Macaca fascicularis: one gene and its partners. The protein of the gene in region 1 binds, or shares a complex with, the protein of each later gene. Links are inferred from orthologs where the notes say so. Each region holds a gene or a part of one and is shown in the gene's direction. Other genes may lie near its edges.

Region 1 (4,501 bases):
AGTTGTTTGCGGTCCAGTGACTCTGAGTGACAATCAACTTCTATAGCACTTTTTTTTTGGTCAGGAAATAAAGTAGCATGTTCCTGAATAATTCCCCCCACCCCGTTTTATTTTCCTGGTAGTCAGGCTTCCTCCAAAATACCTTATTTGACCTTCATACCTTTAGAAACAGCAAGGGCCTGATTGGCCTCTGTGGGTTGCTAATCCGATTTACGTGAGCGGAACCTGGTATTATTTTAGCTCCCCCACCGAAAAAATAATACACATGGATAATAGTTTTATTACCAGCTCCCGCTTGACTTTTTTCTCTCTGGTTTGCAGGCCCGATAGCTCTGGGAAAGTAGACCGTGGCCTCTTCCAAAAATGTTCTGCCCTTGATTTCGGGAATCATTTGGGCAAGCCCGAGGTGCTGTGCATGGGGGCTCCTGGAATCCTGGGAAGGCCAGAAAGCCTTGGCCCCAGACTCATCGTGCAGCAGCTCTGAGGAATGTTTCGGCTGAGGAGTGACTTGAGCGAATATTCAGCTGAGGAGTGACTTGGCCACGTGTCACAGCCCTACTTCTTGGGGGCCTGATGGAAGAGGGTGGAGTAGAAGGTTCCAAGGTCCCAAACTGAAATTGTCCTGTATGCTTGGTTCACACAGTGCGTTATTTTACCTTCCTCTGAGCTGTTAATCGCCTGCCTCTGAGCTGGGTGAGATAAACATCACAAGGCACAAAGTGGTTGTACCATGAAAAGAAATCAAATCCCTCCCATCCATCCCTCAGGCTGCCACACACACAGTCTACGTTACACACATGTCACGTAAAGCAGGATGACATCCATGTCACACACGTAGACATATATTTACCGAAATGTTTACCTTCGGTTGCATATGTTCTCATATATGAATATATAGAAATATATGTACATATTTTTGTATATTGGATATATTTATATAACTGTAACATGCATATGGATATGAAAATAAATGCACACACATATTTATGTAAAAGGAAATTTGTACACATGCATTTACATATGTAAATACATACATCTCTTTGTATTAATGTTTAAAAACACTCAATTTCCAGCCTCCTGTTTTCTTTTAATTTTCCTCCTATTCCGGGGAAACAGAAGCGTGAATCCGACGTCTATGCTATGCCAAAATGCGCTGTAATTGAGGTGTTTGTTTTGTTTTGTTTTTTGAAATTGTATATTATCGAAAAACTCCAAACTGAAAGTTGAATAACGGGCCCAGAGGGGAAATAGAAGCCAGACCCTGACCCTGCATTTGTCCTGGATTTCGCCTCCGGAGTCCCCGCGAGGGTCCGGCGCGCCAGCTGATCTCTCCTTTGAGGACAGGGAGTGGAGGCGCGAGCGCCCCCCTTGGCGGCCGCGCGCCCCCGCCCTCCGCCCCACCCCGCCGCGGCTGCCCGGGCGCGCCGTCCACACCCCTGCGCGCAGCTCCCGCCCGCTCGGGGATCCCCGGCGAGCCGCGCCGCGAAGGGGGAGGTGTTCGGCCGCGGCCGGGAGGGAGCCGGCAGGCGGCGTCCCCTTTAAAAGCCGCGAGCGCCGCGCCACGGCGCCGCCGCCGCCGTCGCCGCCGGAGTCCTCGCCCCGCCGCGCTGCGCCGGGCTCGCGCTGCGCTAGTCGCTCCGCTTCCCACACCCTGCCGGGGACTGGCAGCCTCCGCCGCACATCTGCCGCCACAGCCTCCGCCGGCGACCCGAACGTTCTCGGGGCCAGCGCCGCGCGGATCACCGGGGACCGCGAGGCATCCGCGCGCCGCAGACCCCGCGCGGGCTGGAGCACCCGGCAGAGCGCGCCACAGCGCCGTGGCCTCTGCTGCCCCGGCTGCGCCAGAGTCGCGGACGGGCGCGCAGAGCGCCGGCGACTCCGGAGCCGATCCCTAGCGCCGCGATGCGGGGCACCTACTGCAGGAGATCGGGGGCCTGGGAAGCGCCGGCCGAGGTGTGATCGGACCCCAGGCTAGTCACAAAGGGCATTTGGCCCCAGGGTTAGGAGAGAGAGGAGAGAGCACAACCACCCGCCTCGGCGGCCCGGGACTTGGCTCGACTCGCCGGAGAATGCGCCCGAGGACGACGGGGCGCCAGAGCCGCGGTGCTTTCAACTGGCGAGCGCGAATGGGGGTGCACTGGAGTAAGGCAGAGTGATGCGGGGGGGCAACTCGCCTGGCACCGAAATCGCCGCCGTGCCCTTCCCCGGACCCGGCGTCGCCCAGGATGGCTGCCCCGAGCCATGGGCCGCGGCGGAGCTAGCGCAGAGCGCCCGACCCTCGCTCCCTGAGTCCTGGAGCCGGCCCCGCGCGGGGCCACGCGTCCCTCGGGCGCTGGTTCCTAAGGAGGACGACAGCACCAGCTTCTCCTTTCTCCCTTCCTTTCCCTGCCCCGCACTCCTCCCCCTGCTCGCTGTTGTTGTGTGTCAGCACTTGGCTGGGGACTTCTTGAACTTGCAGGGAGAATAACTTGAGCTCCCCACTTTGCGCCCGTGCCTTTGCCCCAGCGGAGCCTGCCTCGCCACCTCCGAGCCCCACCGCCCCTCCACTCCTCGGCCTTGCCCGAGACTGAGACGCTGTTCCCAGCGTGAAAAGAGACTGCGCGGCCGGCACCCGGGAGAAGGAGGAGGCAAAGAAAAGGAACGGACATTCGGTCCTTGCGCCAGGTCCTTTGACCAGAGTTTTTCCATGTGGACGCTCTTTCAATGGACGTGTCTCCGCGTGCTTCTTAGACGGACTGCGGTCTCCTAAAGGTAGAGGACGCGGGCCAGGGGCCGGGGTAGGTGGTAGGTGGGAGGGGGATTTGGGCAGCCACTGCGGCAGAGCCCTTCCTTACGTCCAGGCCAGAAGTAAACAGACCCCTTTCCAGTCCACGTGCAACGGAGCCCTGCGGGGTGCCCCCTTCCAGCTGTCCCGGGCGACCATCAGCCTCACCCTCCCGGCCCGCACTCTTCCACCCCTCTTTCTTACCCTCTCCCCGGAATACTTTTGGAGCTGTTAACACTTAGATGAGGTGTTTTGTTTATTTATTTATTTTTAAATTATTTATTTTATTTATTTATTTATTTATTTTTTTTTTGAGTCAAAGAAATCCCTTTGAGAGGGTAGCCCCTGGGTTTCACCCGTTAGCTGAGAACCTGTCCACCCTGCCATGGCGATCTCCCTTCTTCTAGTGTTTCTGGGAGACTTGGTTTCTTTACTCAGAGCCCTATCCCATTGAGAAAAGTACTAGGAGTTGGGGCTCTCCCTTCTTGTTTCCAGAAATGCGAGGGGTCAGTACTGAAGAATCACTTGGTGCTGTGTTTTTAACAGCTGACACGTGCATTAATAGATATTCACCATGTATGTAATCCCAGGAAGATACATGAGTATCTTGACCGTACTACGGGGATGCGGGATGGAGTTGCCTCTCCAGACACCCCTGAGTGTAGGGGCGTGGGACACAAGTTGTAAGTGGCTTCAGAAGTTGTGGCCTTGAGCTTACAGGGTCTGGAAGTTATAGGGGTGTGTGTGTGTGTGTCAGGAAGTTCTATACAGTGCCTCTAAGGAAGTCACATGCACCATTTGTGTGTGTTTATATGCCAGAGAGCGCTCAGCGCTCTGCATTTGGGTTTGTATAGGGGACGCAGGGTGTCAGACCAAGCGGTGGTTCTCCCAGGTTCCCAGCATTGGCAGTCAGCGCTGTGTTACACACAAAAAAGTGACAGTCATTGGCGCTGGTTTGGTTGGGAGGGGAGGGCAAACCCCAAATCTGATGTTAGACAAGTTAAGAGTTGGATGGGAGCGATAAATCACCTGGTTCTGGAACTTGGGGCCCTTCATTATCCCAAACATTTGAGCTTCGGTCGGTCTTACCTAGACTCGCGAGTGTGCCAAGCCAGGAGGGCAACCTGGAGGAGGCACGCCAGCCAAATGGGAGCCCGGGCCGCGGGGGCGCGAGGGGGGAGGACTGGGCGGGGAGCTCGGGTGACTCACGTCGGTCCTGTCCGCAGGTCGACCATGGTGGCCGGGACCCGCTGTCTTCTAGCGTTGCTGCTTCCCCAGGTCCTCCTGGGCGGCGCGGCTGGCCTCGTTCCGGAGCTGGGCCGCAGGAAGTTCGCGGCGTCGTCGTCGGGCCGCCCCTCATCCCAGCCCTCTGACGAGGTCCTGAGCGAGTTCGAGTTGCGGCTGCTCAGCATGTTCGGCCTGAAACAGAGACCCACCCCCAGCAGGGACGCCGTGGTGCCCCCCTACATGCTAGACCTGTATCGCAGGCACTCGGGTCAGCCGGGCTCACCTGCCCCAGACCACCGGTTGGAGAGGGCAGCCAGCCGAGCCAACACTGTGCGCAGCTTCCACCATGAAGGTGAGGCATGGAGCAGGGCGTGGGGGCGGGGAGTCACCCTGCAAAGCCCTCCACCGTGGGCAGACTGCAGCCATCCCTATAGAGGCAGCTTAGCCAGGGCGCCAGCGGACGTTTCCACTCTTGCTTCTGTACTATGGTTTCTGAATCTGATTTTAACT
Region 2 (4,715 bases), on another chromosome or scaffold:
ACCCCTTTCCGGAGTACCTGGGTAGGATTTCTGTCATGAATTCCCCACACACCCCAGAGTTCTGTAACAGGGGTGCTGCTCTGAGAACGGTTTTGAAGGCTGTGGAGATAGCAGATCCCGATCACAAATCCAGTCCACTTAAAATTCAGGAGCCTGCGGGGTTGTCCATTTGGAGTGTAGAGCCACACCTGGGCGCCGGCCTGACCCTGCCAGGAGGCTGGTGGGAGCCCAGTGTCATAAGATGGGTCTTGCAGGAGAGGCTGGAGCCCACCCGTGGTGGAGGGAATCGGGAGTGTGCTAATGAGGCTATGTGATGATGTGTGGCTGCAGGGGCATGAGCTCACGGGTCCAGTGGCTGGATTCATGTCCTGCCCTGGCTCACTTCCTCGAAGTGAGACTTGGGCAAGAAGTCAGCCCAGCAGAGCCCAGCTTTCCCCTGAGCTGGGGATGGCAGTCGCACCGGGAAGATGCAATGGGGGAGGCCTGTACTGCCTGCAGCGCTGGACCTGGGACATAGCCAGCCAGCTGGGACTTCACAGTCCCTGCTCTCCAAGGTTCTACCAGATTCCGTCCTGGTGGAGAGTCAGAGCACAGCACAGCTCCTGCTTGTGTTGCAGTGGGGCCTGCTCTAAAGGGACAGGCAGTGTCCTTTTTCTACTTTGATCACAGTAAGGGCCAGAGGTAAACCGGAGCCTGAGCGTGGCCATCGGTTAACAGGAGACCAGTGTTCCTTCCGCTTGATTTTCTCTGATGCCCACATCTGCATGATTCTGAGGAGGCAGAATGTCAGGTCAGCACACCCGGCTCCTGGAATTAATGAGGTTGCCGGGACAGGCATTGTGTGCAGGCCGCTGCACCAGTCAGTTCCTGTGCGCTGGGTCCCTCCAAACGCTTGTTCTGCATAGTACTCCCTCCGCATACACCCCACCCCACTCACCTCCTGTACTGGCTTTATCAGGGGGCAGCAAGGAAGCTACCTTGTCCCACACAGACCACACCAACATTTCAAAGCCTGCAGGTAGGTTGGGCCCTTCCACATCTTGTACAGGTAAAGGAGACGTGAAGACAACAGAGCAAGAGAATCTTCTCATTGCCTTGGGAGGGAGACCTGTCCTCAGCAGCACACCTGTGTGGGAGGAAGACTACATGGGGGGATCTCACCAATGCTCCCCACGTATCTGCCATAGCACCCCTTTATAGTGGTGTATTAGTCTGTTCTCACACTGCTGATAAAGACATACCCAAGACTGGGTAATTTATAAAGGAAAGAGGTTTAATGGACTCACAGTTCCACATGGCTGGGGAGGCCTCACAATCATGGCAGAAGGCAAAGGAGAAGCAAAGGCACATCTTACATGGCGGCAGGCAAGAGAGCACGTGCAGGGGAACTCCCATTTGTAAAACCATCAGATCTTGTGAGACTTATTCACTACCACCAGAACAGTATGGGGGAAATGGCCTCCTGATTCAGTTATCTCTACCTGGCCCCACCCTTGACATGTGGAGATTACTACAATTCAAGGTGAGATTTGGGTGGGGACACAGCCAAACCATATCAAGCAGGTACCACCTGACTGTCATTTACCTAACCTGACCCTTTAAGTCAGCATACTTTAATTTAAATAAAGCTAATAAAATGGAAAATCTGTAGCTCTTACATCAATTTTTTTTTTTTTGAGATGGAGTCTTGCTCTGTCTCCCAGGCTGGGGTACAGTGGCACCATCTCAGCTCACTGCAACCTCTGCCTCCCGGGTTCAAGCAGTTCTCGTGCCTCAGCCTCCTGAGTAGCTGGGATTACAGACGCATGTCACCAGGCTCAGCTAATTTTTGTATTTTTGGTAGAGATGGGGTTTTGCCGTGTTGGCCAGGCTGGTCTCGAACTCCTGACCTCACATGATCTGCCTGCCTTGGCCTCCCAAAAAGTGCTGGGATTACAGGCATGAGCCACCATACCCAGCAATTTTTTTTCTTAATGCACATTTAAATAAAGGTATGACTTCTCAAATTAAAAGACAAAGTGTTCACTTAGGTATCTCCCGAAATTACCTTGTTACTGGCAGTATGGCAAACACAGGTCACATGAGGGGGAGAGCCCAAATTTCAGATGAGCACTGACTTCCCCCATGCTCAGGTCTGTGACCTGGGAAGGTGACTTATGCTCCAGTAGAATGGTGCCCACCCACCTGCAGAGGCGGGAGAGATCACCCAGGTCCAGGGCTGCACAGCGCAGACTGGGTTCACACAAGGTGCTGGGATAGGTGGGTACTTGTGCTTGCGTTAGCCTGCCCTCAAATATGTCTGTTTTTGGTTTTATGTGCAACTCAATTTTATAGGTAAAACCAGCACCGGAGAAACAAACTGACTTTTCTAAGGTCACAGGCCAAGTTAGTGGCCTAGACAGGAGTGCTGAGGCTCCCTTTCCCCCCTGGAGACCACCCCGGCCAGCACTGGGCTGTGACGCCAGAGGCTGGATCTCCCAGCTGGTCTGCTGGCCCCTTTCTCCTGGAATCCATGTAGAAACTTCTGCTGCAGGTGTGTGTGCCTAGCCACTTGTGGTCACTATGGGCTGTGCAGAGGAAGGCCAGAAAAAGGCAGGTTCTATGTGTTGAGAAGATTAGGTGTGTTAAAGCCATAGTTCTGGGGCATGGTCATTTTGGCTAATTGTCACTAAAGTCTCAAAGCTTGTGAGGGATCCAAGGTTACTACTCTCGGTTGCTTCTCAGCTTGCTTCTCCGAGCAGGACAGAGAAGGATGGGGGCTACGGTGAGCCTGAGGGAAGCCAGCTCCTCTATGGCCAGGGGGCTAATGGAGCACTCATACCAGGCAACATTCATTGAGTTTTGGCTATGAATGCTGGGGCCAGACTAAGTCCTTTATATATGATAAATCACTTCACACACATTATCCCATCTTCCAGATAAGTATAACAAGGCACAAAGACAGGAGGTCATTTATATAAGGTCATACAGTACCAGGACTAGGGACACATATTTAATAGTGGGGCTAAATTCCCTGCCAGATTCCTGTTGCTTTAGCCAAAATTCTTGGGGATGGCCATGAAAGTGTATATAAATGTCAAAGGCCCCGGGGTGGCCTGTCAGCTTCCAAAGTCCTGCTACCCTCAAACAGTGACCACTTCCCTTTCAGCCTGCCTGTCCGCTTGGGGTCACTATAGGCTGGGTAAAAGGACCCCTTTTCTTACCACTTGCAGGAAGTTTTTCACCATCTGTGTGTGGCGTGGGTGGCTCTGCCCTAGATGAGATGTCCTCCTGCGACGTGTGGCTGCTCCCCTGCCCCACAGATGGTAGCAGAGGCTGGAGTTGCCAGACTGCACCCAGACAGGCTGTTCATTCCTTTCTCCTCAGCCACCTCCCCGTGCAAGATCCTCAAGTGCAACTCTGAGTTCTGGAGCGCCACGTCTGGCAGCCACGCCCCAGCCTCGGACGACACCCCCGAGTTCTGTGCAGCCTTGCGCAGCTACGCCCTGTGCACACGGCGGACGGCCCGCACCTGCCGGGGTGACCTGGCCTACCACTCGGCCGTCCATGGCATAGAGGACCTCATGAGCCAGCACAACTGCTCCAAGGATGGCCCCACCTCGCAGCCACGCCTGCACACGCTCCCACCAGCCGGAGACAGCCAGGAGCGCTCGGACAGCCCCGAGATCTGCCATTATGAGAAGAGCTTTCACAAGCATTCAGCCACCCCCAACTACACGCACTGTGGCCTCTTCGGGGACCCGCACCTCAGGACTTTCACAGACCGCTTCCAGACCTGCAAGGTGCAGGGCGCCTGGCCGCTCATCGACAATAATTACCTGAACGTGCAGGTCACCAACACACCTGTGCTGCCCGGCTCAGCGGCCACTGCCACCAGCAAGGTAAGGGGGAGGGGGCGGCTGTAGGGCACAGCCCTGCCCTTTTTCTGCCCTGTGTGGACACTGAGAGGCTGAGAGGGCCTCGGGTGCCTGGAAATGGGGGAAGATGGAGCAGAGTGGGGACACGGGAGCACTCTCCCTGAGCATCCCAAGGGGTGGATCTCAGCTTCCTCCCTCCTTCCCTGAGCCAGCCCAGCCTGGCTGGCATAGCTCCATTTCACAAATGGGGAGCCTGACGCTCTAGGAGGCCAAGTGACCTTCCCACTCCAAGTGCATAGTCAGCTGGGATGCTGAGCTAGAATTTGCCCCAGGCCCAGGTGATTCCAGAACCTGGCATGTTCTCAGCGGCCCCACGAGGCCACTGAAGGCTGCTGGTTTTCCAACCCAAGGAGGCCTTAGCATGTGGGCAGCAGGACTCAGGTCCTGCTCATGGGGCCACAGCCAGAGGCAGCCACACACACGGCCATGGGCCCATGCAAGTGGACACTGCTGTCTACCCCAGGCTCTCCCTCCCCTACCCGCTTTTGGGGAGGATGTCCTGTGACCTCATATTCAGACTTAGCCAGAGGGCAAGGCCTCGAGGCCAGGAAGGAAGCTGGTGGCTCCCAGTTCAGGTGATGGGGACACGTCCACCCTCCCCAGTGCCCGGCCTACCAGTGCCCCCTGGGGTTTCCAGCTTGGCGAAGCGGCAGTGGGTCTGTTTTCCTAGGAAGAGCCAGTTGGAAGGCCATGTGTTGGGCAGTGCCAGACTTACCACAAGGGTGTTTCTGTTCCTTCCCACCCCTCCACACCCAGAGGAGGACAACGAGGTGACCTGGCAGCCGGGGAAATGCTCCA
Region 3 (4,777 bases), on another chromosome or scaffold:
AGATGGAGTCTCGCTTGTTGCCCAGGCTGGAGTGCAGTGGCACGATCTCGGCTCACTGCAAGCTCCACCTCCCGGGTTCATGCCATTCTCCTGCCTCAGCCTCCAGAGTAGCTGGGACTACAGGCATCTGCCACCACGCCCAGCTAATTTTTTGTATTTTTGGTAGAGACGGGGCTTCACCGTGTTAGCCAGGATGGTCTCGATCTCCTGACCTCGTGATCCGCTCGCCTCGGCCTCCCAAAGCGCTGGGATTACAGGCATGAGCCACTGCGCCCAGCCTATCTCTTTTCTTTTTTAAGGGGGATGGGGGGCGGGTCTCACTCTGTTGCCCAGGCTGGAATGCAATGGTGCTATCACAGCTCACTTCAGCCTCAAACTCCTGGGCTCAAGTGACCCTCCTGCCTCAGCTCCCAAAGTGCTGAGATTTTGCAATATTTTTAGTCACAAGATTATGTTATTCCACAAAAGTATCTGTCTGAGGCTAGGCATGGTGGTTCATACTTGTAATCCCAGCACTCTGAGAGGCTGAGATGGAAGGACTGATTGAGGCCAGAAGTTCAAGACCAGCCTGGTCAACATAGTAAGACCTCATCGAAAGAAAGAGAAAAGAAAAGAAAAGAGGGAGGGAAGGAGGGAGGAAGGCAGGGAGGGAGGGAGAGAGGGAGGGGAGGGAGGGAGGGAAGGAAAGAAGGAAGGAAGGAAGGAAGGAAGGAAGGAAGGAAGGAAGGAAGGAAGGAAAAATGTATCTCTTTGAATCTTTTTCTATTTCTCCAAGTCTTTCTTTCTTTCGAAAAATTCTATTCCCATTCTTTCTTCACCTCTTTGCCTTTGTTAACCTTCTCTCTAAGCAACTCAGGAGCCTTTATTTTTTGTGTATTGAGGGAGAGGAAGAGGAATTGCTGTACAAACCAAAGTAATGAAAATGGAGTAGGTAGGAGGATAGACAGCTGCAAGGATCTGAGCTGGATAGACTGAACAAACCCTCATCCTAAGCAACTCATAGCTCAGATTTCTTCTCTGGACAGCTGGCTTTTTTCGTTCTTCTGAAATACTCTGCAAAGATAGGGGAGGGGCTGTGAACTACTTCTGCTATGGATCTTATTTAAAGTCAGCTACCTCCTAGACACTATCTGTAGTACCTAAATGTAATATTCAGCATAGCAGGGATGAAGATGGTAAATGAAAGGTATCCAACTGCCCACTATAATTTTTAAAGGCCAGGAGTTCGTCGTTACTAAAAATGCTGGAGGGCTGCCTGGAGTAGGCAGTGACCAGAGTCACACAAGCTGGAACTGGATATTCGACTTGTCTGTCATATTTCTCTCCTCCCTCCCTGACTTGGCACCCAATACTCCATATTCTTTCTAATCCTCCAACCCTCCCCACTCCCCCAACTCCCACACCCTACCCCCACCAACGTTCCTGGAATTTTGGACTCAGCTATTTTTAAAACCGTCAACTCAGTAGCCACCTCCCTCCCTGCTCAGCTGTCCAGTACTCTGGCCAGCCATATACTTCCCCCTTCCCCCTACACCAAACCTTCTCTGGCTCCCTGACCTCAGTGAGACAGCAGCCGGCCTGGGGACCTGGGGGAGACATGGAGAAAGAGACGGAGGACCCCCTGGCTGGAGCTGACCCACAGAGTAGGGAATCATGGCTGGAGAATTGGATAGCAGAGTAATGTTTGACCTCTGGAAACAGTAAGTCAAAATGAAATTGCAATTCCTTTAATAAGCTTTTATATTGAAGTTAGACTTTTATAAAATTACAAACACCTACTTGGATGTCTCTCGTCCAAATGCTGTGATCTCTCCCTACCAAGGTGCCCCAATCTCCATTTCTCTTTCTGTCTTCTTTCTGGCCTCTGGCCTCTAGTTATTTGAAGTTTAATTCTCCGTCTCTCCTCTGGCAGTCTTAGCCCTCTCTTTACCTTATTACCTCAAGACTTCTGATGAAGTTTTAGAAGGAATTCCCTACGTCCGCTATTCCGTAGTTTTCTTACCAAGGCCAAATATGACCTCTCAGACCTCAGACACCCTTCTATCCTGCCCCCACTTAGCAATGCTCTTCACATTGAGATTCCAAGGGTGGGGGCTGCTCCTTTAAATTATTTCTCCCCACAACTCTAGTCCCTCCATTCTATTCTCCCTCTCACAGGACTCTTCTCCCAATCATATCCTTACCCATAAGACAGGGGAGTTAGGCAGGAGGAATTTAGCCCCTCCCCAACTCCTGTCCTCATTAAAAAAACTGAGAACTTCAGAATTTGAAAGGGAGAGATTAATGGAAAGTGGTTCTTCAGTGAAATTTGGGAAAATACAAGAACTGTTGACTTAGAAAAAACAAATATTGATTTGCATGTTTGGTTTGCATCCCATTATTCCATGAGAGGGGGAGATTAAAATTGCAGCTCGCTAGAGCTGATGAAAAGAGATCAGTTCCCTTTTCGTTTGAATACTGATGTTCTAGAGGGGATGGGTATGCCACCCTTACTCCTTCTTGTGTTCTTCTGACACAAAGGAGGCAAAGAAATGTATGACTCCTAGAAGGCATCTCCTCCTAATGGAGAGGGACAAGTAAGAAGTATGTTTCTGAAATATTTTCAGGTCCTAATTTTATTAGGGTACCCACTAGGATTACTGGTATCTGATCTATCCCCATGATTCCTCCATCTTTGACATATCTGCTGTTTGGTAGCTCAGGATGGAGCAATATAGTGGACTCTGGCCCCTTGAGTTCATTCAACCTTCCCTCCACCCCCACCTAGGGGTATTGCACAAGGGCCCTAAAAGTGGCCACAGGCACAGGGCAAAGAGACTTCACTGCCACACTTACAGTTTGAGGAGCCCCAATCTCCCCAAATTCCAATCTGCTCATCCTTTTCTTGATCTCCCCAGATTCGCTTCACATTATCCTGACCAATCTTCAACTCTTCTCTCTCTCTCCATGTCCAGCCAAATTTCTTTTTTCAGTCACTTACAGGGCTTCCGGTCAAAATTCACTAGGTAGGAGGGTCATCAGCTGGGAAGAACCGGCGCCTGGGGAACCTGGCTGGATAGGTATGGGGGAGCAAGGCCAGTCCCCTAGTCCCAGGTCCTCCCATGGCAGTCCCCCAACTCTAAGCACTCTCACTCTCCTGCTGCTCCTCTGTGGACATGGTAAGGAAGGGCCAGGGAAGGGTTTGGGGAAATCTAGAGGGTAGGCTGCTATGTAAGGGTGGGCACGTGAGCCTGAATGAGTGAGGAGAGATGTGCGCTGAGAGTCCCGGTCACTCGCCCTGCTCTCAAACAGGAATATTTTATTGCCCGTTCAGTTTGGGGAAGGCCACTGGGGAAGCCCTTGGTCGACAGGCAGAAGAGATGTGGTGGGCTTACACATTTTTAGTAAGACAGCCGAGAGAACTAGGGACAAGGGGGTTGGGGGCTGGGGAAGGCCCTTAGTTAGGTTTTAGGAAGACTGGAATCCCCTGATGAGATTTGGAAGAGTTATGAGCAAACTACACTCCGATAGAGCAGGGGTCTGAGGACCGTCTCACAATCCTCTCCCTTCTGTCTTTAGCTCATTCTCAATGCAAGATCCTCCGCTGCAATGCTGAGTATGTATCGTCCACTCTGAGCCTTAGAGGTGGCGGTTCATCAGGAGCACTTCGAGGAGGAGGAGGAGGAGGAGGCCGGGGTGGAGGGGTGGGCTCTGGCGGCCTCTGTCGAGCCCTCCGCTCCTATGCGCTCTGCACTCGGCGCACCGCCCGCACCTGCCGTGGGGACCTCGCCTTCCATTCGGCGGTACATGGCATCGAAGACCTGATGATCCAGCACAACTGCTCGCGCCAGGGCCCTACAGCCCCTCCCCCGCCCCGGGGCCCCGCCCTTCCAGGCGCAGGCTCCGGCCTCCCTGCCCCGGACCCTTGTGACTATGAAGGCCGGTTTTCCCGGCTGCATGGTCGTCCCCCGGGGTTCTTGCATTGCGCTTCCTTCGGGGACCCCCATGTGCGCAGCTTCCACCACCATTTTCACACATGCCGTGTCCAAGGAGCTTGGCCTCTACTGGATAACGACTTCCTCTTTGTCCAAGCCACCAGCTCCCCCATGGCGTTGGGGGCCAACGCTACCGCTACCCGGAAGGTCAGGCACTCAATCTTCCTTCCGATCTACCTCATCAGATTCTTCCACGGGCACCATTCCCCCCCATCGCCACTAGTCAACAGCAGTGCTCCCTAATTCCCTTTTCTTCCTCAACCTCTCCCTCATCTTGAATCACTCCCTTCTACCAAACAGTTGGAGCTGTAAATCACTTCCCCTTGATGGGAATTTCACTCAAATGCAGAAAACACTGAAGAGACATTGAAGAGAGCAGACCTGAGGAGTTTCAGAAGGGAAACTTTTCCCTCTCCTAGGAAGTTGCCAAGGTTAAGTAGAGAGAGGGGTTAAGTAGGGATGAGGTAATACTGGAAGGTAAATAGGAGAAGCAATCAAGGATTGAGGGCCATAATAGTCCTGCATCTCTACTTGAATCAGATCCCTAACTATGTATGAGGTCTGACTGGGGGGAAGATGCACTGAACCCAAAATGAACTGTTTTCCCTCTTGCCCTCACAGCTCACCATCATATTTAAGAACATGCAGGAATGCATTGATCAGAAGGTCTATCAGGCTGAGGTGGATAATCTTCCTGCAGCCTTTGAAGATGGTTCTGTCAATGGAGGTGACCGACCTGGGGGATCCAGTTTGTCGATTCAAACTGCTAACCCTGGGAACCACGTGGAGATCCAAGCTGCCTA
Region 4 (4,804 bases), on another chromosome or scaffold:
TTGTGAACCAGGAGCTGAGTTGGGTGTTTTTTCTTCTTCTTTTTAAATTCTCAGATGCAAAAGAGTGTGTTTCAATGTGTCTTACATTTACCTTTAAACGATCTTAGTATTTTTTTTTTTCAATTTGACTCTCACTTAGAAAAGATAAAGCAAGGTGAAAAAATACTAAGAAGGAACCTGCAGAGGTTTGGAGGAAGGGCGTTCATTGTCATCGCATTTAAGAAAGAGAAAAATATGTAAATTTTACTAATTATTGCCTCTTACACATCCTTTCTTGATAGTGACCCCAAGGTCCAAAGACGTTAAATCTGTTGCCTAAGACTCAGACCCAGAAAGTCAGAACTAGACCTTCCTCTGTGGATTCCCACTCGCCCTCTTTACACTGCCCTATGCTGCCTCTAGCGTTAGCCGGAGAAACTATAAGGAGGGGTTGGGGGAGGAGAAGGCAAAGAAAAGCTGGAGAGGGTCGTAGATTCTTGCCTAAGGAGGCAAGAAGTGACCTCCCTGAGTCAAGGTACTTGAGCATTTGACTTGACTAAGAGAAGCAGCTCGCTAGTTCCAGGAGTTGAACGCGCCGATTAGCTGCCGCTGAGTATCTATAATTTTTTTGTTTGCTTGTTTGTTTTTCTACTTTGGAAGATCAATGTAAGGTATAAAGTTAATCGCTTTCTTCTCGCCCTCCACGCCTTCCACGCTGACCGAAGCGACCGTCCTGCCTCGAACGTTTCGTGGGCTCATTCTTTGTAACACTTGCTCTGGGCCTTAGGTGTCTCTTTAAACCCTCTCTCCCCTCTTTATTTCCAAATCTTTATCATTGACTTTCTTAAGCTGTAAAGACACACTGGCACCTTAGGTGGTCAGGGAAGATCGCTGGATTCCTTATTTCGGCGAAAGTCCAGAGGACCATTCCCGCCACTGTCCCCATTTTAGAAACACTTGGAAGACCCTTAAGGATCATTTACGGAGAGAAAGGGGAGCATTCTGCTGCTGCCGGCGGGCAGCTAGAGAACGTGGCGGGGGGCAGCGCATCTGGCGCCTTGGCCGAGGCGCAGGGTGGGAACAGCCCGCACGCGTCCGCTGCCGCCCTGCCTGGCGACGAGTGGCAAAATCGCCCACCAGGAATCGGCTGGTGCCGCGGGTGGGCGAAGGCACGGCCGCCGGCCCGGAGGGCAGCGCGGAGGGTGGCGCTGGCGGCGTGAAAGGCGTCTTTGTGCAAGACTGAGTGTGGTGGGGGGAAGGCGAAGAGAGAACTGAGCCCGGACCTGGACGCGGGGGTCTAGGGCGCCCCTATGCCCCTAGCCGTCCGCTGTGCCGGAATGAGCCGGGTAGCGCCGGAAGGGGGCAGTGTGGCGACAGAGGAGTTGCCGGGAGGAGGGGGTTCTCTGTTCACCTCTATTTGAGGCTGGACTGGGGGAAAAGCTGCCTGGAGGAAGCTGCTGGGGTGCGGGGGACTGAGCGATTTGGCTCCCCGCCCTCTCCCCTAGGTGGCGGAGAAATCGGGCTAGCTGGAAGGGCGCAGCTCCTCTCCGAGAGCTCATTCCGGAATCGGAGAGCTGGGAAAGCGGCCCCCGAGGCGGAGCCTCCCTCCCGCCCGGAGTCCCGCTACCCCCAACCTGGGGGAGAGGGGCGGGCGCCGCGCTGCCTTCCCTCCGCGCCTCGGCCGCGTGGCTTGCGGCTTATTTTCCCAGCTGGCAAGCGTCGCGCTGCAGACAAGGGAATGCCTGTGGTGAGTTGTTTATTTTGTTGAAGTTTGCGGTGGGCCCAGGGGACGTGGGGGGCGAGCGGCAGGCAGCGGCCGGGACTGTTTTGTTTAGGTCTCCATCCACCTGTGTGGTATAAATCTGCCAGCCTCAAGGCGGCGGGGGACCGGAGTGAGAAAGCGCTCCCAAAAGCCCCTTTTCGCCACTTACAGATATAGGACCACATTTGATTCTCCACGCCTGGAACCGGCTAGATCCTAATTTACTCTCACCCCGCCCTCCAGCCTCCCATCAACGCTTCCCGCACCCGCTGTGTGCAGGGCTGGCGCTCCGCAGAGCAAACAGCGCCCGCGACCCAGGGACAGCTGGCCACCGAAATCCCTCCCCGGCTCTCTTCCCCGTTCCTTGAGGACAGGGGAGCTGAGGTTTTGATGTGAAGGGCGCCCATGAAATTCGTGGGAACTTGTTCTGGCGTCTTCTGGAGTGGAGTTCTTTCAGGGGTGTCGGGTCTGCCCGGGACTACAAAATGGGATCCTGGGTTGGCTGGAGTCTCCCAGACTAGGCTGGAGAGAGGTCGGCTGTTGGCTCGCGGGAGAGCCCAGAGGAACCCCTTGAGCTGATGGCAGTCAAGACCGGCGGCTGCGTTTGCCTGGAAGAAAAGCCTAAATACATTAGCGAGCCGGTAAAGCTTTTAAGGCCTTCTTGGGAACGAGTGGCTGGCTAATGAGAGGTTAATTTTGTTTCGAAGGGAAGGCTGCACTGGTTTCCTGAGATAAATGGACAGGAAGCGCATTACCTCCGCGCCCTGGCAAGCGGCTCCCAAATGCTTTTTGCACCTGCCGTTTTGAGCGGTGAGAGCAGCGGCGGAGCCCGCAGGGATTGCGGGGGCCCGTTGTCTACGAGCGGGTGATGAGCCCTTCGCAAGCCCCGGGCTGTCTCCCTCCGGGAGTGCATTGCTCACACCAAGCTCTGGGACTCTTCTCTCACACTCAGGTCCTGCGTGTTCCGAAGTTCGGGGGCCCCCTGATCCCGCTGAGCCCCCTCCAGGAGCGGAAGGGTTAAGAATGATGTAAGTACAGGGACTTGGTTTCTCAAGTCGCCCGCTTGGCCCTCTTCCAAGTTGTACTTTCCTTATTTTCTCTCCTTTCCTTTCCTTGCTGTTCTAACGCTTTTTAATAAACTTTTACTCCTGCTATGAAAAAAAAAAATGATGTAAGTACAAACCACAGGCTGCTTGACGCTGAGCTGTCGGACTCTGAGCCATTTCAGCCGCTGCTTTGGGTACACAGTGGCCGGGGAGCAGCCGGGGAGCCCTTACTCTAGGATGGATTGCACAAATCGCAAACCTAGATGATCTGTTAAGCAGTCAGAGATTCTCCTGTTAGATTTCTGGAAATGGAGACATATTAACTGGAGAACAGTTAAAAACATCACGTATAGGTTCAGGAAATGAAACCGCATCTTGTTTAGAATCCATTAGTGTTTCTGACATGTGTTTTAATTCTGTGCACTTGCACGTTCATACCGTGGTATGCTTTGCTGGATTCTCTGGATGTACTGTTCAGGTCTCCTCCTTCCTTCCTGAAAACAAAGAGGAAGGGAGAAAGAGTACCAGTGGCAAGAAACAGGGTGGATGTGTGAGTTGCACCACTCATCAGTCACTTCATGATTTTTTTCTGATTAAAACATAAAACTTTTATAAGTCACCGATTTTATGTTTGTTTTCTACCTCCCTCCCCGATTTTTCTTTGTAGAATCTAAAATCCTTTGTAACTTGCAGCTCACGGGGTCGAGGAGTGGCTGCGCTATAAGTGACTATTCACTACACTCTTGCTTGCCAAGCTGATTCCTGCTCTTGCGAACAGTACGAATTTACCCGCGAGTGTGTCAACTGACCTATGTCTTGAAAATAGGAACCACCTTGCGGTTTAATTGTGAAAATTAGCATTTTCCTTTAGCGGGTGAACACTTATGCAGCAATAGAAAGTGAATTGTTAGGCTTATAAATCTCGAGCTTGTCAAATTTTACAACAGAGGAGCAATAAAGCGCCTTAGAGATGAAGTTTTTCCTCTGAAGAACAGTTCGGTTTAACGACACCAGGGTATACAATGACTCGAGGACGCCCTCTATTGATAGGAAAATCTGGAGCACCCGTGTACTTAAGGAACAGGATATGGGGGGAGGGGAGTAAAAACATGAGAAAGTCACGAGTGGAAAGACCCAAACCAAACAGAAATTATTGATCCTTAACTATTGAGTATATGTTTTGAAGTATGATCAATAAAGTGAAGTGTTTCTTGTATAGGGGTCGAATTAAATCTTGGATTAAGAGAAAAAAAATTTTAGTCCTTGTTAGCCAAATACTTTGAAAATCAGTATTTGATTACTTAAGATGCTTCTTAGTATGTCATGAACTGTACCTCATTAGTTATATGAAGTAATTGCAAGATAGTAAATTTTTGCTCTAATAATATTTAATCCACAGCATTATCTAAAAATGTCATATACCTTCCTCCCCAAAAGTCATTTCTCCAGGCAACTGTGAAGCTATTATTAAGCATATTATGGATATACACAGGCTTGGATTATATCGTGGGTAGTGAAAGGTGTGTTTACCCCGTAAGTCATCATAGTATGTAATAAGTAACTAATGAAAAGTTACAGTAAAAACAGATAGGCATCCTTCGTTAGGGACATAGTGGTTTGGGCAATTCACAATGTGTCTATAATGAGTGAGCTGGTGAGACCGAAGGTTTGCCCCTCAATTATCTTAGTCCATTGATTAGCACATTTAAACATGTGTGGAATATCAGCATGTCCGTGGTTGATACGAAATTCCTAATTAGAGATTCTGAGTAATGTAGCGTGTAGAGTTGCCAACTACGATTTGGATGTTAGTGGATTTTAAATGGCGGTCCTGTGCTGTTTGGGGAAAGGCAAAGGCAAGGGCAGTATCAAGTGTCTCTCAGCCTTGAGGTCATTCTTGAGATTAGATACCACTTCACACCTACTGATAACAAATTGGAATCTATCACCAGTCTCATAACTGCTTTTCTGTCTCCACTTGGCAGCCTCTTTCTTTGCAGACAATTGGCTTTTTCCT
Region 5 (4,741 bases), on another chromosome or scaffold:
GACAAAATTGCTCTGCAACATGTAATATTCATAAGGAAACAAACTAGTGCTGAATCCTCATAAAGCACATAAAAAAGAAAGAAGTATGCTTAGGCGCCTACTATGTGCCAGCTTCTTTTTTTTTTTTTTTTTTTTTTGGCGGGGAGGGGCGGTCAGGGAGGTAGGACAGAGTCTCACTCTGTTATTCAGGCTGGAATACAGTGGTGCAATCTCAACTCACTGCAACCTTTGCCTCCTAGGTTCAGGTGATTCTCGTGCCTCAGCCTCCCGAGTAGCTGGGATTACAGGAGCCTGCCACCATGCCCAGCTAATTTTTTTTTTTTTTTTTTTTTTTTTGTATTTTTAGTACAGACAGGGTTTCACGATGTTGGGCAGGCTGGTCTCGAACTCCTGACCTCAACTGATTCGCCTGCCTTGGTCTCCCAAAGTGCTGGTGTTACAGGCATAAGCCAAGGCCCCTCGCCTGTACCAGGTCCTAATCACACATTATTTCTAAGTCAGCCCAATTCAAACCACCAATGGGTTGTTGTTATCTCCAGTATCCATCAAAGCAAGATCTACTTTTGAGCAGTCCCTTGATAGTCTAATTCTAGTTGTCTAGACTTTAAAATCGAGGGAAATGCTTTCAGCTGAAACTGCCTACCCCTTTTTATAGAGGTTTTGCAGAAAGACTGTAGTATGCAACAAAGTGCTTTCTTCCTTAGATGATAAACTTTGGGAGTTGGGGTGGGGCAGGTTTAAAGGAAAAATCAGATCTTTGGGGAAAGAAAGTTGAGCGATTTAGGTTGTCACAATGGGACCTCTTAACTCCCACTCTGTGGAAGACTGGCAAATACTTGAGTCATCCACTCCAAGTGTCTCTTCTCCAGCTTTTTCCAGATTCCAATCACATTCACCACAAAGAAAACCGAGTTTGCATTTTAAAGCTTAGATTGAGTTCCTCGTCCAAGGGGAAATTAACCGGAGGTGTCACTTCAGTACCCATCTCCCATCAAAGAGAAACTGCTTCTGAAAGAGAAAGCATCATGGAGGTTTATTTAAAATCACAGAAAGGTGGGGCGGAAGAGAAACCTATCAATAGTTAAGTCACTAATGCGAAAAGTGAGGAAACTGACTTGTCCAAGTTATATCAGGGTGGACCCCAGGCAAGACTCAGGTGCCTCTGCTGTCAGCTCACCTTTCAAGTTTCTAGTCCCCACTCGCACCCACTGAGACCAGAGAGACCAATTTACCTGAGGCAGAAGGTGCTGCACGCATTCTTGTCAAATTTGAAGGGACTGAGGAGGTATCTCAGTAAGTTTGTTTGCACTGGGGGCCTGGAGAGCTTCGGGAAAATAGCCAGAACCAAAACGGACCCGTCAGCAGACGCAGACACACACAAAGTGACACGGACACAGAAACAGAAGCTGAGCTGGGCAGAGCGGGCAGCGGCCGACCCACCTCGCACGGCCGCCCCCCGCCAGCGCCAGGTGCAGGGCTCGCAGCGGCCCAGCAGAGGGCGCGCCGCCCCCAGGGAGCCGAGCGGCGGCCGTGCGGAGCCGGGAGGACTAGGGGAGCCGCAGGCGAGCCAGACGCGCCCCTGAGGCTAGGCCACTCAGGGTGCAGGACCCGGCCAAGGAAGAGGAAGATGGTGAGGAGCGGACCCCCCTGGTGGGCCCGAAGGACAGACAGGCAGGAGTGCTTCCTAAGAATTACATCACGCTGCGCAACGTTGCGGTTCTCGGACTCCCTGGTGCAAAGAGGGGTGGGGTAGGGGCTGTGTGTGTGTGTGTGTGTGTGTGTGTGTGTGTGTGCGCTGGGGGGAGGGGACTTAGATCAAGAGCCCGGGAGAGAAGAAGGCGAGACGCGCCCGGGGAAAACGCTCCATGCACATGGAGAAATTTCTGGCTCCAATCTGCATGCACCGAGAAACGAGCCCCCAGCACTTCCCCGTTGCTCCCCTCCCAGTGCAAAGCACCCAGCTAGTGAGAAACCCTCCAGCCCCCACCTCGAGCACCGCCCCCCCAACACCGGCTCTGCACCCTCCAGCCCGGCTCCAGCGCCGCCGCGAGCTTTCCCCAGGACTGGCCCTGGCGGGGCGCCTAGAGCCCCAGTTGCATTGCTCCAGGAGAAAGGAGGGGGGCGGTGCATTTTGCAGGAGGAGGAGAAGGGGGGTGGGTGGTGGGGGAGAGAGAAAATTGCGCGGAGACCTGCCAAGCGCCACCGCCGCCACCACCGCCGCTGCCGCCGCCGCCGCCGCCGCCGCCGCCTGTGAGCTCCGGCGGGCAGCCGGACTGTCGGCTTCCCGGGGCATCTGGGTCCGGCGGGGCACAGCCCTGGGCGCTGCCGAAGCCGCCGCCGCCGCCTCCGCGGCGAGTACAGGCGGCTTCCCCCGGAGCCTCTGCAGCTCCAGCTCCTCGGGGGTGGAGAAGTGGGGGGTGGGGTTGTTGTTTGGGGGGAAGAAGGGGGAGGGGGCAACGCCGAGAGAGTCAGTGGTTTCCATGGTGATGGAGCTGAAAGTGCAGGAAATTTAAAGGCTTGGACCCTGCGAGACAGACAAACCGGTGCCAACGTGCGCGGACGCCGCCGCCGCCGCCGCCGCTGGAGTCCGCCGGGCAGAGCCGGCCGCGGAGCCCGGAGCAGGCGGAGGGAAGTGCCCCTAGGACCAGCTCAGCCAGCGGCGCTTGCACAGAGCGGCAGGACGAAGAGCAGAGAGAGGAGGAGGGGAGAGCGGCTCGTCCACGCGCCCTGCGCCGCCGCCGGCCCGGGAAGGCAGCGAGGAGCCGGCGCCTCCTGCGCCCCGCGGTCGCCCTGGAGTAATTTCGGATGCCCCGCCGCGGCCGCCTTCCCTAGTAGACCCGGGAGAGGAGTTGCGGCCAACTTGTGTGCCTTTCTTCCGCTCCGGTGGGAGCCGGCGCTGCGCGAAGGGCTCTCCCGGCGGCTCATGCTGCCGGCCCTGCGCCTGCCCAGCCTCTGGTGAGCCGCCTCCGGAGAGACGGGGGAGCGCGGCGGCGCCGCGGGCTCGGCGTGCTCTCCTCCGGGGACGCGGGACGAAGCAGCAGCCCCGGGCGCGCGCCGGAGGCATGGAGCGCTGCCCCAGCCTAGGGGTCACCCTCTACGCCCTGGTGGTGGTCCTGGGGCTGCGGGCGACACCGGCCGGCGGCCAGCACTATCTCCACATCCGCCCGGCGCCCAGCGACAACCTGCCCCTGGTGGACCTCATCGAACACCCAGACCCTATCTTTGACCCCAAGGAGAAGGATCTGAACGAGACGCTGCTGCGCTCGCTGCTCGGGGGCCACTACGACCCGGGCTTCATGGCCACCTCGCCCCCCGAGGACCGGCCCGGCGGGGGCGGGGGTGCGGCTGGGGGCGCGGAGGACCTGGCGGAGCTGGACCAGCTGCTGCGGCAGCGGCCGTCGGGGGCCATGCCGAGTGAGATCAAAGGGCTAGAGTTCTCCGAGGGCTTGGCCCAGGGCAAGAAGCAGCGCCTGAGCAAGAAGCTGCGGAGGAAGTTACAGATGTGGCTGTGGTCGCAGACGTTCTGCCCCGTGCTGTACGCGTGGAACGACCTGGGCAGCCGCTTTTGGCCGCGCTACGTGAAGGTGGGCAGCTGCTTCAGTAAGCGCTCGTGCTCCGTGCCCGAGGGCATGGTGTGCAAGCCGTCCAAGTCCGTGCACCTCACGGTGCTGCGGTGGCGCTGTCAGCGGCGCGGGGGCCAGCGCTGCGGCTGGATTCCCATCCAGTACCCCATCATTTCCGAGTGCAAGTGCTCGTGCTAGAACTCGGGGGCCCCCTGCCCGCACCCGGACACTTGATCGATCCCCACCGACGCCCCCTGCACCGCCTTCAACCAGTTCCACCACCCTCTAGCGAGGGTTTTCAATGAACTTTTTTTTTTTTTTTTTTTTTTTTTGAGCTACAGAGACCTAGCTTTCTGGTTCATGTAATGCACTGTTTAACTGTGTAGGAATGTATATGTGTGTGTATATACGGTCCCAGTTTTAATTTACTTATTAAAAGGTCAGTATTATACGTTAAAAGTTACCGGCTTCTACTGTATTTTTAAAAAAAAAAGTAAGCAAAAGGAAAAAAAAAGAACAGAGAAAAGAGAGACTTATTCTGGTTGTTGCTAATAATGTTAACCTGCTATTTATATTCCAGTGCCCTTCGCATGGCGAAGCAGGGGGGAAAAGTTATTTTTTTCTTAAAGTACAAAGAGACGGGGGAACTTTTGTAGAGGACTTTTTAAAAGCTATTTTCCATTCTTCGGAAAGTGTTTTGGTTTTCCTTGGACCTCGAAGAAGCTATAGAGTTCAATGTTATTTTACAGTTATTGTAAATATAGAGAACAAATGGAATGACTAATCATTGTAAATTAAGAGTATCTGCTATTTATTCTTTATAATATCCCGTGTAGTAAATGAGAAAGAAGTGCAGAGCAGGATTAAAGAAAACCACTAAAACCGACTGGGCTCCACACTGATTTTCTGTGTTGGTGATTGATGGGGGGTGGGAGGGCGTGGGAGGGGGCGGGTAGGGGATGCTGCTGTGCCTCCTACCCGGTTGGGGAAGGGGCTCATCCCCTCGGACTCACCTCCTGTGGTATGATAGAGATGACTTAGTGTTTTGAGGGCGGGGGGTGGCGATATTCTCTAACCCCTCACTAAAACATCACGTGGCCTCCGCCTAGTCTCCTAGCTTTTCCCCCTGTGTCACCAAAGCTCGGGCCTGTAGTGACCTCGACACCCAGCCGGCCCCC
Region 6 (4,049 bases), on another chromosome or scaffold:
GCTCGATAATGATCACAATTTGGTACTGGTGTAAGGATAGATGTATCGATGAATGGAACAGATTATGGAGTTTAGAAAGGAACATGCACTTAATATGGTTAATTGATTTAAAAAAAAAAAAAGGTGCCCAAGTAATTCAGTTGGAAAAAGGCAATCCATTTAACAGATGGTGCAGGAAAAATCGGGAATCCATTTACCAAAAAGTTAATCTCAGCCCTTACCTCCTCACTCTGTATACAAAATTAACTTGAAATGTAGCATAGTCCTAAATGTAAAAGTTGAAGTATAAAACCTCTAAAAGAAAATGTCCAAAGGAATTATTGTGACCTTGGGCAGACTTCTCAGTACATAAAAAGCACAAATCATTTTTTTTAATGATAAATCAGGCTTTATCAAAATTTAAACCTTCTGCTATTTAGAAGACAATGTTAAGAAAATGAGAAGACAAGTCACAGATTGGCAAAACAGGTCTGATACAGGGTGTTTGTGCAAAATATATAAGAACTTTTGCAACTCAATAAGACAACCTAATTTTTTTTAAAAATGGCCAGAAGATTTGAACAGACACTTCCCCAAAGAAGATAAAAGAATGGCACACAAGCACATGAAAAGATGTCAGCATCAACAGGGATATACAAATTAAACGCAGTAAGATACTACTACACATCCACTAGTATAGCTAAGACTGACAATATTAAGTGGTGACAAAGATGTAGATCAACTAGAAATCTCATACATTGCTGATTGGAATGCAAAATGGTATAGCTATTTTGAAAAACAGTTTGACAATTGTCTGGAAAGTTAAGGGTATACTTTCTGTACAATGAAGCAATCCTTCTGCTAATTATTTACCCAAGAGGTATGAAAATTTGTCCACACCAGAGGCCTGAATGTGAATGTTGATAGCAGTTTTATTTATAATAGACATAAACTGGAAACAACCCCAAAGCTCATTAATTGGTAAATGAATAAACAAATGGTGGTACATTCATACAGTGGAATACTACTCATCAGTAAAAAGGAACAACTTCTAACACCTGTAGCAGTAACAGTGGGTGAATTTCAGAAGTATTTTATGCTACATGAAGGAAGTCAGACACAAAAGGCTACACTCCTGCCTCAGCCTCCCAAGTAGTTGGGATTAAGGCATGCGCCACCACACCCAGCTAATTTTTGTATTTTTTTTTTAGTAGAGGCGGGGTTTCACCATGTTGGCCAGGCTGGTCTTGAACTCCTGACTTCAGGTGATCCCCCCGCCTCGGCCTCCCAAAGTGCTGGGATTACAGGCATGAGCCACCACGCCCAGCCAAAAAGTGAAAATTTTTTTACGTGATTAAAATGTTCTGAATTTTTTTTTTTTTTTTTTTTTTGAGACGGAGTCTCGCTTTCTAACCCAGGCTGGAGTGCAGTGGCCGGATCTCAGCTCACTGCAAGCTTCGCCTCCCGGGTTCACGCCATTCTCCTGCCTCAGCCTCCCGAGTAGCTGGGACTACAGGCACCCGCCACCTCGCCCGGCTAGTTTTTTTGTATTTTTTAGTAGAAACGGGGTTTCACCGTGTTAGCCAGGATGGTCTCGATCTCCTGACCTCGTGATCCGCCCGTCTCGGCTTCCCAAAGTGCTGGGATTACAGGCTTGAGCCACCGCGCCCGGCCAAACGTTCTGTATTTTAATTGTGGTATTGGTGATTACATGATATAGATTTGTCAAAGGCTTGTTGTACTTTTCTCAAAAAGGGTACATTTTATGTAAATTATAAAATCTTGACTTAAAAACTTACAGGCTGAGGCAGGCAGATCACTTGAGGTCAGGAGTTCGAAACCAGTCTGGCTAACATGTTGAAACCCCATCTCTACTAAAAATACAAAAATTAGCTGGACGTGGTGGCAGATGCCTGTAATCCCAGCTACTCGGGAGGCTGAGGCAGGAAATCGCTTGAACTGGGGAGGCAGAGGTTGCAGTGAGCTGAGATTGGCTGCTGCACTCCAGCCTGGGCAACAGAGTGAGACTCTGTCTCAAAAAAAACAACAAAATTTACAAAAGGATTCTGTAATAAATGATACATAAAGTCACTTTAACTTTGCACTAAATCTAGTTCATTTTAGAAGCATTTCCAACTTGGAACACAATGTTCTTTTTAATGTAGAATGATCACTAACGCTTCTGAAAATGAAAGATAACAATCCATATACATCTTTTATTTAACAAATATGAAAGTTCTTCTGATATTGTCCCAAATAGATACCTGTATTCTGTGAGCAGGGGATGGATTTCAAGCAAATATATACGTAAATAAGAATAAAGTTATGATTGTGTGAAGTGCAGCAACTGAGAGGTTTTGTGTGCTATGAAGGTGTTTAAGTGAGAAAATAGCACTCTAAGTAAAGGGAACTGGACATTCAAAAAGACCCAGAGACAGGAATAAGCTTGAGTGAATTCTAAAAGTTGACATAAATCAAACAGGAGGTTTGTGGCTGGGTGGTCACAGCGAATAATGGGGTCAAGCCAGATCTTGCAGGGTCTTATAGATGGGATTTTTAAGATCTTTAACTGTCATTTGGACTTTGCTGCATAATAAACCATCCCAAAAACTTAGTGCCGTGAAGCACAAAGATTATTTCTCATTCTGTGAGTCTGCGGGGCAGTTCATTTGTTGGACTTGCTCAGCTAGAGCTAGGTAGTATAGTTCACACGCATGGCCAACCGTTCATGCTGCCATTATTTGTTGTTCACAGGGTTACCAAAGCAGCAGGAAAGGGCAAGCCCCAGTCCACAAACATTTGTCAGGTCTTTGCTTGCATCACGTTCGCTGTTGTTCTTTTATCCAAAGCAGGTCATATGGCCTAAGCCCTGAGTCTGCGGGCCAGGAGTACCCATGGCTGTGTGCACTGGGAGGGGAATTATTATGACCATTTTTGCCATTAGCCACACTGAATAATCTGTTTATAATTTCAGAATACATTGTAAATTGTTTCATACTTTAAAGTACATTATGGCTGAGCATGGTGGCTCACACCTGTAATCCCAGCATTTTGGGAGGCCAAGGTGGGCGGATCACCTGAGGTCAGGAGTTCAAGACCAGCCTGGTTAACATGGCTAAACCCCATCTTTACTAAAAATACAAAAAAATTAGCTGGATGTGGTGGTGGGTGCCTGTCATTCCAGCTACTTGGGAGGCTGAGGCAGGAGAATCACTTGAAACTAGAAGGTGAAGGTTGCAGTGAGCCGAGATCAGGCCACTGCACTCCAGCCTGGGTGATAGAGCGAGATTCCATCCAAAAAAAAAAAAAAGTACATTATAAGTTTTTAACTCGAACTGGTTGGGTATACCATGCTTTTTGATGAGATGGACTATCCCTTTGCCAGTCTTAATGGGTTTCTTTCATCAAGAGCTCAAACCTTTTACTTTTTTCTATAAAGGTTCAGCGAACTATTGCCAAACAGATTCAGATGGTCCGGCAAGTTGGTAAAGGCCGATATGGAGAAGTATGGATGGGTAAATGGCGTGGCGAAAAAGTGGCGGTGAAAGTATTCTTTACCACTGAAGAAGCCAGCTGGTTTCGAGAAACAGAAATCTACCAAACTGTGCTAATGCGCCATGAAAACATACTTGGTGGGTACACACTGATTCAGTCAATTTCATGTTTGACAAGGCTAGTGGGGGGTGCAGGTGGAAGCCTCTATATATGCTTTGAAAACATGTGTAAGTTCAACTATATACACTTGTCTAAAGGAAACCCAGTAGAATACGTGGTTTAAATATAACATAGTCTGGAATGCCAACCAAGCTGTTTCTTTACTAACCAGCTGAAGAAACAGCAGTGAGCTTCAAATGGAAAATAATACTAGTTTATTGGACTTACTCCCATAGTAATGAAAACCCAGTCTTTCATAGATAATTTAAGCAGTGATTTAGGGTAACATATGCCTTTTCCCTTTCATAAGCCCAACAGCCCAACATGCAGTTTCATTGTATGTTCTGTGTTTAATGTGTGTTTCCCCCCATCTCCACATTTACACAATAATAGCAAAGTAATTTAGGTATGAGCTG

What was found.
Region 2: the proteins of BMP2 (region 1) and RGMA are in contact, whole or in part, in a crystal structure (PDB 4UHY), measured with the Homo sapiens proteins. The link is inferred for Macaca fascicularis from reciprocal best matches to the Homo sapiens genes BMP2 and RGMA. Residues at the interface, in NP_001191.1 of Homo sapiens: Val308, Gly309, Trp310, Asp312, Trp313, Met371, Tyr373, Leu374, Asp375, Glu376, Lys383, Tyr385, Met388; in NP_064596.2 of Homo sapiens: Arg91, Arg94, Gly95, Leu97, His100, Ser101, His104.
Region 3: the proteins of BMP2 (region 1) and HJV are in contact, whole or in part, in a crystal structure (PDB 4UI1), measured with the Homo sapiens proteins. The link is inferred for Macaca fascicularis from reciprocal best matches to the Homo sapiens genes BMP2 and HJV. Residues at the interface, in NP_001191.1 of Homo sapiens: Phe331, Pro332, Ala334, Asp335, Leu337, Asn341, Ile344, Val345, Leu348, Ser351, Val352; in NP_001366281.1 of Homo sapiens: Leu40, Asn43, Tyr46, Val47, Tyr86, Leu101, Ala102, Ser105, Ala106, His108, Gly109, Ile110, Asp112, Leu113.
Region 4: the proteins of BMP2 (region 1) and RGMB are in contact, whole or in part, in a crystal structure (PDB 4UI2), measured with the Homo sapiens proteins. The link is inferred for Macaca fascicularis from reciprocal best matches to the Homo sapiens genes BMP2 and RGMB. Residues at the interface, in NP_001191.1 of Homo sapiens: Val308, Gly309, Trp310, Trp313, Met371, Tyr373, Leu374, Asp375, Glu376, Tyr385, Met388; in NP_001353437.1 of Homo sapiens: Lys97, Arg100, Gly101, Leu103, His106, Ser107, Leu110.
Region 5: the proteins of BMP2 (region 1) and NOG are in contact, whole or in part, in a crystal structure (PDB 7AG0), measured with the Homo sapiens proteins. The link is inferred for Macaca fascicularis from reciprocal best matches to the Homo sapiens genes BMP2 and NOG. Residues at the interface, in NP_001191.1 of Homo sapiens: Trp310, Asp312, Trp313, Val315, Ala316, Pro317, Pro318, Gly319, Tyr320, Ala368, Ile369, Ser370, Met371, Leu372, Tyr373, Lys379, Val380, Val381, Leu382, Lys383, Asn384, Tyr385, Gln386, Met388; in NP_005441.1 of Homo sapiens: Ile33, Arg34, Pro35, Ala36, Pro37, Ser38, Asp39, Asn40, Pro42, Leu43, Val44, Asp45, Leu46, Ile47, His49, His199, Arg204, Arg206, Pro219, Ile220, Gln221, Tyr222, Pro223.
Region 6: the proteins of BMP2 (region 1) and BMPR1A are in contact, whole or in part, in a crystal structure (PDB 2QJ9), measured with the Homo sapiens proteins. The link is inferred for Macaca fascicularis from reciprocal best matches to the Homo sapiens genes BMP2 and BMPR1A. Residues at the interface, in NP_001191.1 of Homo sapiens: Lys297, Pro330, Phe331, Pro332, Leu333, Ala334, Asp335, His336, Ser339, Asn341, Ile344, Val345, Leu348, Asn350, Ser351, Val352, Asn353, Ser354; in NP_001393490.1 of Homo sapiens: His66, Cys67, Pro68, Asp69, Ile77, Thr78, Asn79, Phe83, Ile85, Cys100, Met101, Lys102, Glu104, Gly105, Phe108, Gln109, Asp112, Arg120, Ile122.

What each region holds. Positions count from the first base shown.
Region 1 is NC_088384.1:80,544,771-80,549,271, reverse strand, and holds the start of BMP2 (bone morphogenetic protein 2), read left to right. Parts: upstream 1-1,566; 5' UTR 1,567-2,751; intron 2,752-3,990; 5' UTR 3,991-3,997; coding exon 3,998-4,343; intron 4,344-4,501. UniProt on the Homo sapiens protein: Growth factor of the TGF-beta superfamily that plays essential roles in many developmental processes, including cardiogenesis, neurogenesis, and osteogenesis. Induces cartilage and bone formation.
Region 2 is NC_088381.1:77,804,448-77,809,162, reverse strand, and holds the start of RGMA (repulsive guidance molecule A), read left to right. Parts: upstream 1-1,483; 5' UTR 1,484-1,498; coding exon 1,499-1,522; intron 1,523-2,334; coding exon 2,335-2,533; intron 2,534-3,212; exon of another isoform or gene 3,213-3,257; coding exon of another isoform or gene 3,258-3,366; coding exon 3,367-3,881; intron 3,882-4,715.
Region 3 is NC_088375.1:113,394,629-113,399,405, forward strand, and holds the start of HJV (hemojuvelin), read left to right. Parts: upstream 1-1,542; 5' UTR 1,543-1,700; intron 1,701-2,954; exon of another isoform or gene 2,955-2,972; 5' UTR 2,973-3,061; coding exon 3,062-3,158; intron 3,159-3,558; coding exon 3,559-4,121; intron 4,122-4,595; coding exon 4,596-4,777. UniProt on the Homo sapiens protein: Acts as a bone morphogenetic protein (BMP) coreceptor. Through enhancement of BMP signaling regulates hepcidin (HAMP) expression and regulates iron homeostasis.
Region 4 is NC_088380.1:105,153,193-105,157,996, forward strand, and holds the start of RGMB (repulsive guidance molecule B), read left to right. Parts: upstream 1-1,536; 5' UTR 1,537-1,717; coding exon 1,718-1,726; intron 1,727-1,984; exon of another isoform or gene 1,985-2,382; intron 2,383-2,448; coding exon 2,449-2,551; intron 2,552-2,693; coding exon 2,694-2,769; intron 2,770-4,804. UniProt on the Homo sapiens protein: Member of the repulsive guidance molecule (RGM) family that contributes to the patterning of the developing nervous system. Acts as a bone morphogenetic protein (BMP) coreceptor that potentiates BMP signaling. Promotes neuronal adhesion.
Region 5 is NC_088390.1:50,134,177-50,138,917, reverse strand, and holds NOG (noggin), read left to right. Parts: upstream 1-1,519; 5' UTR 1,520-1,810; coding exon of another isoform or gene 1,811-2,482; 5' UTR 2,483-3,062; coding exon 3,063-3,761; 3' UTR 3,762-4,447; downstream 4,448-4,741. Other genes in the region: uncharacterized protein, read right to left, coding at 1,811-2,482. UniProt on the Homo sapiens protein: Inhibitor of bone morphogenetic proteins (BMP) signaling which is required for growth and patterning of the neural tube and somite. Essential for cartilage morphogenesis and joint formation.
Region 6 is NC_088383.1:59,723,007-59,727,055, reverse strand, and holds part of BMPR1A (bone morphogenetic protein receptor type-1A), read left to right. Parts: intron 1-3,418; coding exon 3,419-3,611; intron 3,612-4,049. UniProt on the Homo sapiens protein: On ligand binding, forms a receptor complex consisting of two type II and two type I transmembrane serine/threonine kinases.